Linked DNA regions of Canis lupus familiaris. The protein of the gene in region 1 purifies or fractionates together with the protein of each later gene. This does not show direct contact. Links are inferred from orthologs where the notes say so. Each region holds a gene or a part of one and is shown in the gene's direction. Other genes may lie near its edges. The genes, in order: SBF1, MTMR1 and MTMR2.

Region 1 (4,128 bases):
CCCATGTTTCTTCTGCCACCTTGCGGCCCTGTCAGCACGGGGGACCTGCCCGCTCTCTGTTCCTCCGGCTGCACACACCATGGGAGCTCAACAAACACTCACGGGGTGAGTAAGTCGACAAGTGTTGAGCGCCGGCCCGTGGAGTAGCCTGGTTCATGTCCGGAGGTGGGCAGTGAGGCAGCAGCAGCCCTCCCGGGTTCTAGTCATTGATTTATTTTTTCCAGCTTGGGGAGGAGGGAGCGCGAAGCCGTGACATTCACGGTAGAAAGGTGCCACGGGGCAGGAGGGGCGGCCTGGGGGGACAGAGCCTGAGTGACCCTGGGGGCGGGCGACGAGGTCAGCTCTCCTGGTGGCCGATGCGGGAGCCCCTAGCGAGGGTGGGTTTGGGCGCCTGCGGTCTTCCTGGCAGAGGTATCAGGCTGCCCTGTAGTCTCGTGGGCCTGGGGCTGGAGAGGGCCGACCTGGACACGGTGGGAGCGTCACAGACGCCACCAGACACTGCGGAGAGGACGGAGGCCGCAGGCCAGCTCTGGAGGGACAGCGAGGGAGGGGTGGGTAGATGCCCGGGGCAGCCGGACCCTCCCCCCAACCTGCCTCAACACTGTCGCCAGTGCCCTCTTTCCCAAACTCAAGGGTGATGGTACCACCCAACCCTCCAATAAAGAAAAATCAAATCAAAGTGCCTTGTCTCTGCGAGTTTGTAACCTGGGCAAGCGGAGGTAAATGAGCCCCAGGGAGGTGCCCGGACCCGGGGCTCCCGGCGTAGTTCCCAGCGCCCTCGCTGCCTCCCCGACCCCCGCTGGGTGGGGTGTCCTCTGGCCCCGGTCCCGGGCGCCACAGCTCGGGGGCCTCGGGTGTGACCCCGTGTGACCCCGTGCGCTCCCGGGCCGGCGGCTCCCGCTCCCCCCGCCCGCTATTCGCTCCGCGGCCGGCTGCGGGGGCTCGAGCGCCCGGGGCGTGGGCGTCTCCTCCATCCCGCGCCCGGTGCCCCCGCCTTGCCCCCGCTTTCCGCGGAGGGCGTGCGCTTGAGGCTTCACCCCACCCGATGGGGCTTCCGAGCGCCGAGCCCCGGGCCCGCTCTCACCCGCGCCACGCCAGCCGATGACCCGCGCGAGCCGCCGTCACTGTCAGCGCCCGGGGGGGCGGGGCCGGGCGTAGCCCCGCCCCCGGGCACCGAGCCCGCGCCGAGCGGACCAATGGGAGCGGGTAGCTGCGGGACCCGCCCATGGCGGGGGCGGGGAGAGGCCGCGCAGGCGCACGGCGCAGCCGGGCGGGCCGGCTGGCTGGGAAGATGGCGGCGGGAGCTCTGGCCGCCGCGGCGGAGCGGGCCCGGGGTGTCCGGGGAGCGCGGGCCAGGGCCGGGGCCGGGCCATGAGCGCGCCGCCCTCGCGTCCCCGAGCCGCGGAGCCCGCCCGCGCATCTCGCCATGGCGCGGCTCGCGGACTACTTCGTGCTGGTGGCGTTCGGGCCGCACCCGCGCGGTGAGTGCCGGGCCCGCGGCTGAGGGCGGAGGGCCGGGGCCCCAGGGCGGGCAGGGGTCAGCCGGGGCGGCGGGCGTGCGCGGGGACACGCGGGGCGGGCGGGCCGCGGCCGCTGGGCTGGCGCGAGGGTCGTCCGGGGCACCAGTCGGGGCCGGGGTCGCGGTCGGGGTCAGGGGTCGGGGGCCGGGGTCGCGGCCGGGGTTAGGGGTCGGGGGTCGCGGTCGGGGTCGGAGACCCGGGGCCGGGGGGTACCTCTGAGGACAGCGGGGCAGCGCGACCCGGCGAGCCCGACCTGCCCGCCACCCTGGGGCCCGAACGGGGTCTGGCCGAGCATTGGCGGGGCCCGGCGGGGGGCGGGAGGGTCCGGGAGGGCTCGGCCTCGGGCTCGCTCGGGGAGGGATGGGCCCTCTGCTCCGCCGCCAGCTGCCCTTCCGGACACGGATCCTTGGCTCGCAAGCCCTCCTCTGATCCCCGGTGCCCCTGGCCCGTGTGGGGTGTCTCAGGCCAGGAGGCTTAGGGATGCAGAAGATGGGCGGTTAGAGGTGATGTTTGAGCCGAGACAGGAGGAAGTGGGAGGAGAGGGACCAGCGTTCCTGGCAGGCCGCCGGCGGTCCTCATGCCTGCAGGCCAAGCCCTAGGTGGGGGACCGCTGCGTCAAGTCGATGTCCAGGAGGTCCATCTCTCGCGTCAGCGCCTGTGTCTGAGGGCCCTTGAGCCCGGGGGTAGGAGCAAACAGCCTGACCATGACATCAGCAGCAGTCATGGAGACGGTGGGTTGGGGAGTGCACTCCGTGTGCCAGGCCCTGCACAGCCCTTTGTGTGCATGATCTCATTTCTTCCTCCAGCAGCCCACCACGGTTTCCTTGCTCTCTCCCTCGTCGGTAAAGTGGAGTCGAGCACAGAGCTTGATTGCCTGGCCTGAGCTACCACAGAGACAAACCCAGCAGCAAGCTGTGGGCTCAGATCCCAGTGGCAGGGGGGCAGCGCATGCCCTCAGGGGAGCCTGTGTGGTCAGCCCGGTTGGCACACTCATCACCCAGGACCCAGACTCTCTCTCCTCTTTGCCTTTCTTGCTGAGACTCTACCTGCCGGATCCTGCACACTCCAGACCCTCCTGCGTGCCCTCGTAGGACTCACTCCTCTCTTCTGCTCCTGTCTGTCCAAGGGTCCGTCCCCTGACACCCTCAGTCATGAGCGTGTCTTCCTCCAGACGGGGAGGTTTTGCAGCAAGAGCCAGTCATCTTTGCCTCCCAGTCTGCACGTGGCAGGCTCACACTCGGTGTTGTTGTACAGGCCCACAGAGGAAGAACCGTTTGTCCCACGGTGCATGTGGGGGGCAGCGAGGAGGCCATGCCGCCTGGAGCAGAGGGTTGCATGGGATCCAGGGAAACCAGGCTGGCCCAGGGGCCGCCCAGTGTGAGGGGCCCTGTTTGGAGCTGCGTGAACAGAGTGGGCTTGGAGGCTGATGATGCAGGAGTGGTGTGGGAAGGGTCTGGGAAGGCAGAGACCACAGGCAGAGGCCGGGTGGTAGCAGCAGGAGTAGGGGATTGAGAGTGAATTAGGGAGGTGAGATGCGGCGTGGGTGGGCTCCGTGGCAAGCTGGCTGTGACACTCAGGGTGGGCACCCCTGGTATTTGTGGCTTCTGGTACAGACAGGGGAGAAGGCTGCCTTCCTTAGCATCAAGAAGGAGTCCCAGACTGTCACCTAGTAGGGGTGAAGGCCATGGAGCCTGCCCTAACTGCTGCCTTCCAGGGCTGGAGCTGGTTACTTGCCGACTGGCCACCCAGCCTCTGGGCCTGTGTTGGGAGGACTCCTCCATCCCGTAAGAAGGAAGCCCACAGGCTAGGACCCTAGCCATAGGGCCGGGGGCAGAGCCAGGTGGTGGCAGGAAGCCTGAAGCAGAGAAACACTACGTGGGGGAAGCCAGTGGTACCTGCTTTGCCACTTGATAGCTCTTGACCTTGGGCCAGTCTTCCAGCTCTCTGCACCTCAGCTTTTTCATCTGGAGTTGGAATGAGTCACACAGACCTCCCAGGCTGCCACGAGCAGGAGGTGGACACGCATGTGAAGCTGTTCACACAGGAGGCTCCAGGAAATGATGGATCTCTTAGTGATGAGCAGCAGGTGTGAGGACACTATAGGCACTGGCACAGTCGGCAGGGCTGCTGGAGGTGGGGGACCCTGTGTGCTGGCAGGCCTAGGACGTCAGGACAGGGATGCGGGGTCTTCTGGGTTCAGTGGAGGGGGTAGGAGTGGGGGATGTCTTGTTCTTGGCCTGGACTTAGACATCCTGTCTGGAGCTGGTGGGTGCAGGGCCTGGGTATAGGAGCCCTGCCTGAGGGAGCATCTGGTTTTATAGTTACCATCTGGTGAACCTCTCCAGGCAGGAGCACAGGGAGGGGGGGATGGGACCCCAACTTTCAGTGCAGACCTCTCCCCTGGTGAGTTGGGGGAGCTCCTTCACTAAGGACATGAGTTAGCACCTTCTGCACCCTGGGCCAGCTCTGGGGACACTGTGGGGGCCAGACAGATCACCCTTGCCCAGCTTCTGGGCTGGGGGGGCCTGACCATGGTCAGCTGATGTACATAGCATGGCCAGTGCTGGGGTGTGTCTTTGAGGACAGGAGACACTCTTGACCAGGTGGC
Region 2 (2,867 bases), on another chromosome or scaffold:
TGGGGGGCAGGCTGGGCAGGCACACGGTGCACAGGGCCAGCTCATTAGCAGCAGTATGTTCAAAGACGGGGGTGGGGGGGTGGCACAGAGTGGGCACCTAGGCCGGCGTCACTGCGACAGGATGGGGAGCCAGGCCGGCGGGACAGGGAGGAAAGGCAGGGGACCAGCCTGCTTGGCCCCTTCTGTCCGAGGAGGGCGCTTGTGGGCTGCCTGCACCACGCCTCCCTGGGCCTCCGTCAGAGGGTTGGCCGGGTGGAAGGGGGGACCGAGCTGCGTCGTTTCCTTCGGGGCCCTCTTGGCTCGGGGCAGACCCACCGCCCACAGGGGGAGGCTCCCTACTGGGCACTTCTCTACCGAGCGGGCCTTGGATTTACTGGAAGTGACCTGAGGCAAGGCTGCTCGGAGATCCCTGAGGGTCACCTCAGGTCCTGGGTGTGACACTGGGCGCTCCCTCCATGGACTTCCCGTGTCCGGGACCTGACTCCAGAAGTTTCCCTTGTGTGATTCCCTCGGAACCAAACGATCCCAACAGGAGAATTAACACCAAATTGGCCGCAAGGCCAGGAGGGGAGCTACTGCTTACTTCGCGGTGGCCTTGGGGATCAGCAGCAAATAAGGGAACGTCCCCTTGTTTGGGGGGGGTCTTTGGCATCAGCCTCAGTGTTGTCCCTTCCCTTCAGCCTCAGTGTTGTCCCTTCCCTTCTTGCTGTGGCCTGATGTCAGGACTTGGTTCCTCGCTAGTGACCTGGCACCCTGCGCTTTCATCTGCCTGCCTCCTCCCTACCCGTCTCCCTCCTCCCTGGACTGGGGTGATCAGCCCTGATGGGAGAGCCCGGGGGCAGGGGGCTGCACATGCATGGAACGGCTCAAAACCTAGAAGATTCTGGAATGCAGGAGGGGAGCAGAGGCAGGACCCTGGGGGAGCGGTGAGGAGCGGTGAGGAGCGGCAGGCTGGGGTCAGAGCCCAGGGTTTTGAGGGCAAGGTCGGGGCGGCAGAAAGCAGCCCCTGGAGGCTGTTGGCTGGGCACCAGGGAGCCTGGCTGAGGCTCAGGACCCGGGCCTGCGGCTGCCGTGCACACACTGCATCAGGGACACAAGGCCAGGAGCGCCTCCCAGGTGGTGACCCCCGTCCCCGGTGCACCTCACCCTGGTCCGAGAGCCTCGTGGGGGACAAGCTGGCTGCTGGCTGCCTGGGCCGGCCGGGGGAGAACGGGTGATGCTGTGACCCAGCCTCAGGCCGGGAGTCCCGTACGCCCACGGCAGCCCCCTCCGGGCCTCAGGCTCCCGGGGAGGCCTTGCGGGGGGGGGGGTGGGCTCGGCCCCCCAGGCGCCCTCCTCCAGCAGGGTCATCACCGGGGTGGCCGCCTGCACCTCTCGCGATGGGTGGGAACAGTGTCGGTGCTGCCAGTCGGCAGAGCTGCAGGGGACCTCACCGTGTCCCTCTCTCCCCAGATGCCCATTCACCAGAACCTCAAGGAGCTGCTGGCCGTGAAGGCGGAGCTGCAGAAGCGGGTGGAGGACTTGCAGCGGGAGGTGGCCACACGCGCCTCGTCGTCCTCCGAGCGGGGCTCCTCGCCGTCCCACCCGGTCACCCCCGTCCACACGTCCGTGTGACGCGCTCTGGGGCCACTCCCCGAGGGGCCTCGGGCAGGCCGCGGGCCGGGTGATCCTGCCCACCAGCGACCGCCTGCGTGGCAAGGTGACCGCTCCCGCCGTCATCAAGCGCTTTCCGTTTCGTCGGCCGTGTCCGTCGTGCCCACTCACCGCCCTGGCCCCGCCACGGCCCCCGAGTGTCCCGTCCTCTTCCCGCCCGGGGCCCTCCTGCGCCAGTTACTGTCATGTACATAGAAGGTATTTTTTAAAAAGAGAAACATGCCTTTATTTTCCTATGTCCTTTTTTATGTTGGAAACTAGTCACCCGAGGAGGTGTGTGCGTAACCGGACCGGGTGACGGGTTCTTTCCACCCCCAGCTCGCGCCGACTTACGTGGTCTGCCCGCGACAGGAACAGGGCCAGTGACCTGGCACGGTGTCCTCCCGCCGGCAGCGGCGGTGGCGGTCCTCCTCCCGGGGCCGCATCGCCTCGTGCGGGCTGTCTGTTGGGCCGTCCGCGTGCGAGCCCCCTTCCCCCGGGTGCCCCCACCCGGCCCAGCTAGAAGCCTCGTGCCGTTAGCCGAGCACCCCCCTTGCTTTCTGTTTATTTAAAGCGTATGGAACCTAAGCCCCTGGTGCAGGTGTGTAAAGACTGGTACAGTCGCGTAGTCGCCTCATCTGATACACTGTATTTCCATCTGTAATTAAAATAATATGTTTGCTCTGGGGTCGTCTACTTTTTTTTTTAATGTTTTCCCAATTCCTCCCTCGGAAAAATGACAGCACCTTCCACACCTGTGGTCTCCCGTGCCACGCCCAGGTGACGCGTGTGAGGTAGGACTCGAGTCCTTCGCTGAACCCCACACGCGCGTCTCGGCCCCAAAGGGGATGTGGCGCGTGTAGCCGTGGATCGCCCGTCTGCCCGAAGCTGGTGGGGGAGGGCTGGGCGATCGGGCCCGGGGACCCCGGGACCCCGAGCTGCAAAGGGGGCAGACCGCTGACAAGCCCCGGGGCCCCCACCCCGAGTCCACGGCTCGCATGCTGGCCTCTGGGGGAGCCCCCGCGGGTCTCGCGCCCCTGTCCCCTCCGGGCACCCGGCTGCCCATGCGGATACCGGGGAGTCCCAGGGCGGCTCTGGGCGGGAGGGCTCGTGCTGCTGCACTAGCGGCCGGCAGGGCGCCGAAGCGCCACCCCACGCAGGTGACCCCACGCCCGCCGCCTCCCACTCGGCCCCGGGGTCCGGCTGCGAGCCCGCCACCAGGTCCGCTCATGCCC
Region 3 (4,113 bases), on another chromosome or scaffold:
TGCCAGCCACTTCTCAGGTTCCTGTCCCACAGCCGCCATTTTTGAAGCTGTATTACTGTTTATACACCTTAATGCAGCACATCCTAACAACCCTCACAAAGTAGGGAGGACTACTAACAGCTAATATCTGAGTGCTTACTATGTGCCGATAACTGTTTTTCCAACATTTTATTTAAATTCAATTTGCCGACATACAGTGTAACACCCCGTGCTCGTCCCGTCAAGGGCGCGCCTCAGTCCCCCCATTCCTCCACCTCCTCTTCTGCAACTGTTTGCGAGTCAGGAGTCTCTCGTGGTTTGTCCCCCTCTCTGATTTTTCCCACTCGGTTCCCCTCCTTTCCCTTGTAATCCCTCTCACTATTTGTTATATTCCCCCATGAGTGAAACCGTACACTGATTGTCCTCCTCCGACTGACTTACTTCACTCAGCATAATACCCTCCAGGTGCATCCGCGCCGAAGCAGATGGCGGGTGTCCTCCCTCCTGAGGGCTGAGCAGTATTCCACGTACACATGGACCGCATCCTCTTTATCCATGCGTCCGTCGACGGACATCGTGGCTCCTTCCTCAGTTTGGCTATTGTGGACATTGCTGCTGTGAACTTTGGGGACAAATAGTGTTTTAAGCATCTTACATGTATTCACTCACCTAATCTGGGAAGATATGATTTTCCTATTTAACAGATAAGAAAGAGGGTGTTCAATGCCTTGGGTTACGCCGCCAGTGACGGGCACAGGGGGGTTCTGAAATCATGTCTGACCGGCTAAAGGAACTTTTAACCACTATTTAATTAATAATGATTATTTCCAGCCCCAAACCTGGCGACCTTGGCCATCTCCAGTAGCTCACCCCCTCACGTGGCCCTGCGCGCCCTCTCCTGCCGCCCCCGCCCCGCCCCCGCACCCCCCGGGGCCGCCGTCCTCCGGGGTCGCCCCCCCCCCCCCCACGGCCCCCGCCGCCCGCGCCGGGTCACTGCCGCGTGTTTCCCGGCATCCCGGGCCCAGGTACCCGCAGCCCCAGGACCCCTGCCCCTGGTATGCACTTAGTCCTCTCTTTGCCTCCTGCCATCCTCCTCCTCCCAGGGGTCCCCCGACCCTCGGGGCAGCGCGGGGGCGCAGGAGCGCACGCAGCGAGCGCAGGGCGTCGGCCGCAGTCGGCGGCAGCCCCGGGGTCCTCGCGCTCCTCGCGCTCCTCGGCGGCCCCCGGCGCGGTGCAGGCTGGGGGAACATGGCCGCTTCCGGTCTCCCTCCCGGGCCGGCGCTGGCCTGACCGCGGCCCCTGCCCGGCGCACTCCGCCCTCCGCTCCTCCCGCTCCGCTGCCGCGGAGGTCGCTTCAGCCTTTGCGTCCCGCTGTCCCCGCCGCGCCATGGAGAAGAGCTCGAGCTGCGAGAGTCTTGGCTCCCAGCCGGCCGCAGCACGGCCGCCCAGCGTGGACTCTCTGTCCAGGTAACCGGGATGCCCCGGGCCCCGCCCAGCGCCCAGCGCCCAGCGCCCGGAGCCCGAGAGGGATGGAGAGGGGCCTGGACCCGCGGGGGGGCCCCAGCTCCCGACTCTGCTTCCTGATGGCTGCGCCGAAATTCCTCTCCTGGGACCTGGGAGCCACTTCTTCCTCCCCCTCTGGGGTTTGCAGGCTGGGGAGAAGGGAAGGTGAACACTCATTGCTGCTTCACCGGCGCCTCTACCTTTCTTGTAACCATCTTTTTTAAATCCCGGGTGGAGGCAGCCCCAGTTCATTAGTATCTCTTGTTTCTCATTCCCTCTCGAATTATTTTTTTGGACAGCCCTTCCCCCAACCACCACCCCTCCTTTCCTCCCTGCCTTTCTTTACTATACGCTTTTCCAAACCGTTCTCCAGGCTTGCTTCCATCTATTCATATGTCTTCGATTTTGGGATTCTTGCTCACGTTTTTTTTTTTTTTTTTCCCATCACTTTATTTCTCATGATTTTCCATATACTCCTCCCCCTCTCCCCATTTTGCTTTAAAAATGTAAATAAAAATGCCCACTGTACATCGCCTTTCAAAATCTTGCAGCTGAAAATCATTAGGAATCTGAGCAGTCCTTAACCCTGACTGAATAATGAGTGTTAGCTTTCTTCCTTCTGGGGCTACCGGTTTTCCTGGTTATTTCTCTTGTGACCAGATGGGATTTTTTTTTTTTTCCTGGAATTTTGAGGAGGACTTTAGTATGCAATTTTGTAGATAGCTGTTGTGAGTATAAACTAGACATATTTCAGAGAATGTTTTCCCTTTGGTTTTAAAATAGTGAATTAAAATCTAAGGAAAAAATAATAGATGACCTGTGTTTGTTATGTAGCCACAATAAAATAAGCTTCTTTTCTACCAAAAAATAGTCTAATTATTATTAGAGTTATTAGATACTAATCTGTGTGAAAACACAAATTTCATTTTCCTCAGAATAAATAGAAGTTTCTAACTTTTAGTTCATTTTGCACTCTACTAAATATGAGTGACACAGCTGTTTTCCTATTACTGTTCAGACCTTATTGTGAAAATATTAGCTGTTTCCTTCATTATAAATTAGATTCTCTTCCTAATGCACTCCTGGGAACCTGCTCCCACCATTTTCAGAGTTCTCAACAAACAGTGTAATCGTGGATTAATTATTTTCTGCGAGACTGTAATCTACTGGACCACATCTTACTATCTTATCTCCAGCATTTAACAGAGACACCTTTCATGTCAGAGGTTCTCAACAAAATTTTTTTTTGAATCTATACATTTAATTACCCAGGAGAGAAGGATTTTTCTTTGCATTCGATCACATATATTGTACATCTGTTTCAAGTATTTTAAAAATTTTATTACTCTGAAATTTAGGAAATTTAAGTTACATTTTTAGCTTAAAATTATGCAGAACACAGGTTGTAAAATTAGAATTGTATAGGAAAGTTACAAATGGCAGCTATGATTCAGAATAGAATGTAAAGAAAACAAATGAGGCAACCAGTAATCTCACCCAAGCAAGAGGAAGTGGAACCGCAGGAGGCAGCAGAGTCTGTTAGGATGAAGAATGTATTGGAAGTTAGGAGGTTCAGACTCTTAAAAGTCCCTGGCTCTGCTAGTTTTTTGGCCTGTATCATTTAACTTTTCCAGTCTGCAATTTTCACATCTTTCAAAATAAAGAAATTGATCTAGAGAACCTGCAACGCCCCTTGGCGCTCTAAAATTCTGTCATTCTTTATCTTAATGACAGTAATGATTAAGATACATTCTCATCAATTACTAAGATATTCCCTTTATGGAGTTTTTAAATTATACTAAATAACTCTGTTATTACAAATTAACGTACCTAATTGTGCCACTTAAGCATATTTATTCCCTCCCCAAAGAAAGCCCAGTAACTTTAAAGTTTATATATTTTAATTCTTAATTAAAAATTATGTTACTGACATGAATTTAAGAAAATTAACTCCTTGAGATAGTTTTGACTAGAATATTTAGCCTCTTCCTCTCTGGACAAAAATATAAGTATGATCTACTTTCCGTAGGAGAATGCCAGCTTTCATTCCTTTCCTCTGGAAGGCAGAAAAAAATAACATTTGTTGAATGTCTACTATGTAGAATTCACCCTGCTAAATTTTTTCATGTCTTTTAAGAATCATTACACATGTTTGATCAACAGTGTAAAATAGTTGCATTGTAGACACTTGTTAGCTTAAATTTAAACTTAATCTAGGCAAACAATAAATTGTAAGTGAGAAGGCAGAAAACCATGATTATAATAGCTATGCTACCTGGCTATCCAGCTGTTTATGATTTTACTGTGATAGCCTATAATAAAGCAAAATATCAATATTTGGACTGTATTGTCTCAGCCTTCTGCAGAAACATTGCCTTTAAATTGTAGTTTATTTTTATGCCTTCTGTTTTTTTACAACTAGGAAATTTTCAGTGTCAAATTTTCAATTAGGAAATTGCCACGTGAATTTGTTCCGATACAACAATAGCTAATATGTTCAGTGTATTCCATATGTCTTTTACAGACTAGATTGATATAAGTTTCTGTTGAGTTTAGCTTCAAGAAAAATTGTTCATGCAAAAAAAAATGCTTCCTATTTGTTTGAAAATGGAAACTATGTAACTGCATATT

What was found.
Region 2: the proteins of SBF1 (region 1) and MTMR1 purify together in Homo sapiens (affinity purification with mass spectrometry; 4 studies listed by BioGRID and IntAct, with this or other methods). This does not show direct contact. The link is inferred for Canis lupus familiaris from reciprocal best matches to the Homo sapiens genes SBF1 and MTMR1.
Region 3: the proteins of SBF1 (region 1) and MTMR2 purify together in Homo sapiens (affinity purification with mass spectrometry; 6 studies listed by BioGRID and IntAct, with this or other methods). This does not show direct contact. The link is inferred for Canis lupus familiaris from reciprocal best matches to the Homo sapiens genes SBF1 and MTMR2.

Annotation. Positions count from the first base shown.
Region 1 is NC_049231.1:17,727,003-17,731,130, forward strand, and holds the start of SBF1 (myotubularin-related protein 5), read left to right. Parts: upstream 1-1,290; 5' UTR 1,291-1,426; coding exon 1,427-1,481; intron 1,482-4,128. UniProt on the Homo sapiens protein: Acts as an adapter for the phosphatase MTMR2 to regulate MTMR2 catalytic activity and subcellular location. Promotes the exchange of GDP to GTP, converting inactive GDP-bound Rab proteins into their active GTP-bound form.
Region 2 is NC_049260.1:120,303,630-120,306,496, forward strand, and holds the end of MTMR1 (myotubularin-related protein 1), read left to right. Parts: intron 1-1,452; coding exon 1,453-1,614; 3' UTR 1,615-2,319; downstream 2,320-2,867. UniProt on the Homo sapiens protein: Lipid phosphatase that specifically dephosphorylates the D-3 position of phosphatidylinositol 3-phosphate, generating phosphatidylinositol. Could also dephosphorylate phosphatidylinositol 3,5-bisphosphate to produce phosphatidylinositol 5-phosphate.
Region 3 is NC_049242.1:5,272,323-5,276,435, forward strand, and holds the start of MTMR2 (myotubularin-related protein 2), read left to right. Parts: upstream 1-1,199; 5' UTR 1,200-1,366; coding exon 1,367-1,446; intron 1,447-4,113. UniProt on the Homo sapiens protein: Lipid phosphatase that specifically dephosphorylates the D-3 position of phosphatidylinositol 3-phosphate and phosphatidylinositol 3,5-bisphosphate, generating phosphatidylinositol and phosphatidylinositol 5-phosphate.